Linked DNA regions of Kluyveromyces lactis. The protein of the gene in region 1 interacts with the protein of each later gene in a pairwise test. Links are inferred from orthologs where the notes say so. Each region holds a gene or a part of one and is shown in the gene's direction. Other genes may lie near its edges.

Region 1 (2,282 bases):
GAATATCGTGTTAACGTTAACTAATATTCTCTAATTGTTTTTTTTTCTGAATATTAAAACAGAACTAAACGACAAATTTAAAGTGTCTCCCAAATTGTGAAATGGTCGGATAGAAAGATAACGTACTAATTAATAGCCATTGGTTTCTCCTTTCCTATACTTAATGATCACAATAATTTAGGTTTCTTGATCTGTTAGTGGTTAGAGTGTTGTTAAGCCAGAGTTGTATTTTTGCTTTAACATACAATTAATTAGTTCATTTGTACATACAAATTGTCCATATGCAATAGAATCCTTAGATAATGGCAAATAATAAATAGAATAAATAAAAAAAATATTTTCAGAAAATAATAAAAAATAAGTTAAAATAAATTCTTCAAAAAAATACAAAAAACATAATTAAATTCTATAAAATAAAGCAAAATTCACTAAAATCAATCAAAAGTAACACAAATGTTAGCATTCAATAACAGTTCTACCTTCAAATAAATAGTAAAAACGCATAAACAGGAACGAAGATTATAGTACCTGCTCAACTTCTTGACAGTGGAGTCTGTCGTACGTAATGTATTCAAAAATTAAGTAAAATCATAAAACATCATGTGACTAAAATCAAATTTTACATTTTCTCTCTTTTTATATAAAATAAATTTCTAAACTTTTACTTTATTGCAATTAAAAATATTTTTTTATTAATTTTATATTGAAAAAATTTTAATTAAAATAATGTGGAATTTTGAATTTTTTAAAATAAAATATATGTTTTGAAAAATTTTAGTTTCCGAAAATTAATTTATTTATGGTATTTTGCTTAAGCATAAGAAGTGAAATTGGCTTAAAGCTCTAAAAAGGATAGGAGCCATCTTTTTATGTTTGCTGAGATCCGAAAAAACACTAGAGCAATGCCTCTCTTTTTTTTACGGATACATGGCTTTTCCTTTCTGTTATTTTAAGAGTAGCTTTGATTCATATGCTCAATGTGACAGGATAATATCTACAAGAATAATCTCAACAAAGAAAATAAAAAAAATTTAAAAAAATGTCTGTGAAACGATTAGCATGCTTGTCTGCCTCAAGATTGATTTAATTTTTGGAGTGTTAACGTTAGGTAGGAATGAATCAGATATTGAAGATTATAATACTTACATATTGTTCTTCATATGCATACCCTGCTTCTTTCTGGCATGGGAATCTTTTCTTTTCATTTCTGTAACATGAAAAATTAAAAACCGTAAAAATCGAATTATCAATGAATTCGAACAGAGTTGTTAATGCGATGAGATGAAGTGAGTCCCAATAAAATCAGCATCATTTTGTTATTGTGAATCGAATTATACCCGACCCATTAAACTAACTGCAGATATGAAATTCCTAACTACAAACTTCCTTAAATGTTCCGTGAAAGGATGCGATAACAGTAACCTGAATTTCCCACTTCGCTACGTTCGTGAAAATTGTCAACTAGAACAGGATGAGAGCATCGAATTCAACCCGGAGTTCCTTTTAAGAATAATTGACCGTGTTGATTGGCAAGCTGTAGTTTCAGTAGCATCAGATTTAGGAAATACTGAGCTACCACCCAACAAACCAGAATTTGAAGAGAATTTAACGGATGAGGACATGGTCATTCTAAGAGATCTGCACACACTGTTAATTCAAACTAACATTGTAGAGGGACAAATGCAATGCAAAAACTGTGAACACATATACTACATAAAAAACAGCATTCCAAACCTCCTTCTACCACCACATCTAGCATGAATATTCAAATCCAGCATCTATATATGTACATACAGTGAACTTTCTAGCTTAATAAAGAATAATTTCAGGTCACGTGTTATATCAGCTGACGACGAGGCTTTGACAATCAAAAGGCCCACATTGTTGAAGAGCCACCATGATGAAAATCCAGAAATGGAGAGAAAACAAGGTTTGTATGTTCGAAAAAAAGAGGGTTTTAATCCAGCCAGGAATGATTCTTAATTAAGTAAAGAGTGTTAAAATAAAATCCAGGATGCACCGTACTTCGCATAATTTTCGTTATTTTATTGTATTAGAGCTGTAGGAAGTAAGTTTTATTGAGTACTTTGCTAACACGAATAAAAGGTTGTCTTAAAACGCCCCGTGAATACACGTTTTCTTCGGTTAAATATTTTGCCAGGCTTTTCAATCCGGTTTGTTTCTATCAGTTTTATATTAACACCTGTTACAGCACCGGTACTTACTTGTATTTTGCTGTTTCTTTTGAGCCTGATATAATAATCATTGAAAGCCATATACTC
Region 2 (2,516 bases), on another chromosome or scaffold:
ATCAACACGAGGAAGAGCGTTTGTTGCTCTGTCTAACAAGTTCCTTGCATGGTTGATATTTTTCCATTTGATTTCACTGTCGATGTATTGAATCCATAGTGGAATAAACCCATGATCAACAAGAAGAGCGCGTTCATAAATGGACCTAGCTCTTCGTATATCTTTCTGATCAAATTCAAATTGAGCATACCTCATCCATTGACGAAGGTCTAACCTATTTCTTTTCAAAACTGTCTCATACTCTGTTCTTTTCCTTCGTTGCCAGTCTTTCAGTTCTTCCAAATCTAATATATCTGCCTTCGTAGTAGCTGCAATCTGCTTCTTTTGGCTAAAGGCATCCTTCAAAATATTATCGGCAGTGATGGCTTCATTGGATAAACTATTGTCACCCATGTTACAGTATAGTCAGGTAAGTTATCCGTGTTTTTCTTACTTTTGTTTGCATCGTTGTCGTTAAGTTCATCTGTTTCTACAATTATAATGTTCGCACTAAATTTGATATCTGAATCATTATGTATTTATAAGGTTCATTCATGCATACAAGGAAAAGCAACAAGCATGTGTTACATCCTTCCTTTGTTTGATAATTGGACGGTCGTGTAAATGTAAATTATGTCATTCATAGTGTTAGCTTCCAATAATTATAGTCGTTTTATTAAATGCAGAGTAATTCCTCCAGGTATTTATCTGCAAAATACTTATACACATACGTATCTTGAGGTTTCGCAATGCAATGACACATGGCTCTCAACAACCGCCTCTTAAAGTTAGAACAAGATGTAAAAGAGATCCATCTTGCAAGTCGGCACTGCCGATTGTTGCGTTATCATCTCTGATTTAAAGATAGCATTACTTACTAGTTAGTAAAAGAGTCCCTACATTAATTTGATATCAAACTCTTCTCAGTTCTGAATTATCAGTTAATTAACATACATTTGTTTGCCCTGGAAGATCAACTTCTGCTGTGATGGTGGAATACCCTCTTTTTCTTCTAATAGCTCTTTGATATGATAGACCGTTTCTGAACTTTGAACATCTACGGAGATTTCCTTCCCTGTTAATGTCTTGACCTTTAATTGCATCTTTCTCAACCACAAACAAGCAACTGATTGTCGATTCTCTGAAAATGGTGATTAATAGTTGTATCAAACAGTAGACTAGTTGTTAAGCTTCAATTTAATTACTTTCTTTTAGATGACCTTTTGCATACGTTATTGTTCAATATCAACTTTTCAAATACAATATTATATATGCGATGACTTCCATGTTTGAAAAGATACAGGTGCAGAACAGATATTGATGCGAGCTATAGCTCATCAGGGCTTAGGATAACAGGGCGATGCTAGCTACACCATACGTCTCTTATGATTATAATAAAGTATACGAGCCAAGCGAGGACTCTTTTCTTTTATTAGATGCATTAGAAGCTGATCTGAGTTGGTTGAATAACAGGTTCAATGACGCAGTACCATTGACTATAGAAATTGGTTCTGGTTCTGGGATAGTCTCTACGTTTCTTATGCAAAATGGTATACCAAACGCCAATGGACTTTATTTGGCAACTGATTTGAACCCTTGGGCATTGGACGCTACCTTAGACACTTGTTCGAAGAATGGTTGCAAGAATAGCCATTTTGATGTATTACAAACAGACCTTACGTCTTCAATAAGGGAAAATGAGGTCGACCTGCTTGTCTTTAATCCACCATATGTACCTGCAGAAACTGTACCAGAACTGCCTCATTCAAATCATGCTGTTCGTGATGATGAGTGGCTCTTTCTAGCATTGGATGGTGGTGATGATGGGATGGTGGTCACACAGAGACTATTGAATGGATTGGACAGAATTCTTAGCTGCAACGGAGTAGCGTACATATTGTTTTGTGCTAGAAATAAACCTGAAACTGTGGCAAGTAAGATGAAGTTCAGCGGATGGAAAAGTGAATTAGTGATACACAGAAAAGCAGGGTGGGAAGTATTAAGTGTTTATAAATTTTATAGAAACTGATGAACGCAAATGTGAGCTTCTCATTGCTTAAATGAAAATATTTATTGAAGATCACTTAATGAATTGATGACAAATGTCATGCGATAAATCATCAATACATACCTGTTCGTTCAAGGGGTTTAAGTTGTACATCGCTTCATAGTGATCGTAACTGAGATTGAAGAAGAAAGGAATGAGGTTTACAACGCTGTCAATGGAATGTATGTTGACTAGCAAGGGAACACGGAATGTAGTATCTTCATTCAGTGTAACACCCGACGTCGTGACCATTACCAAATCTTTACATTGGCTTATCTCGTCTACTAGCGCGACATAAGGATCCTTCTTGTAAATACTATTAATAGTGTCAATGACGAATAACCACTCATGAGTGGCAGAAAATTCTTCTACGTTAACGGTTAGAAGAAGATCAAGAGTCTTCGATACTTGAAGGACAACATTACTGTCAATGGATTGTTGAACTTGTATAGCTTCATATATTGTGAGTAAAGATGATTGTAAACCTGAG

Evidence for each region. The genes of interacting proteins can lie anywhere in the genome.
Region 2: the proteins of TRM112 (region 1) and MTQ2 interact in binary tests that used the Saccharomyces cerevisiae proteins (3 or more experiments, as listed by UniProt). The link is inferred for Kluyveromyces lactis from reciprocal best matches to the Saccharomyces cerevisiae genes TRM112 and MTQ2.

Annotation. Positions count from the first base shown.
Region 1 is NC_006039.1:1,637,554-1,639,835, forward strand, and holds TRM112 (RNA methylation protein TRM112), read left to right. Parts: upstream 1-1,362; coding exon 1,363-1,761; downstream 1,762-2,282. UniProt on the Saccharomyces cerevisiae protein: Acts as an activator of both rRNA/tRNA and protein methyltransferases. Together with methyltransferase MTQ2, required for the methylation of eRF1 on 'Gln-182'.
Region 2 is NC_006042.1:1,643,469-1,645,984, reverse strand, and holds MTQ2 (S-adenosylmethionine-dependent methyltransferase), read left to right. Parts: upstream 1-1,339; coding exon 1,340-2,008; downstream 2,009-2,516. Other genes in the region: CLF1 (Clf1p), read right to left, coding at 1-393; NEDD8 family protein RUB1, read right to left, coding at 748-832, 934-1,082; DOP1 (Dop1p), read right to left, coding at 2,060-2,516.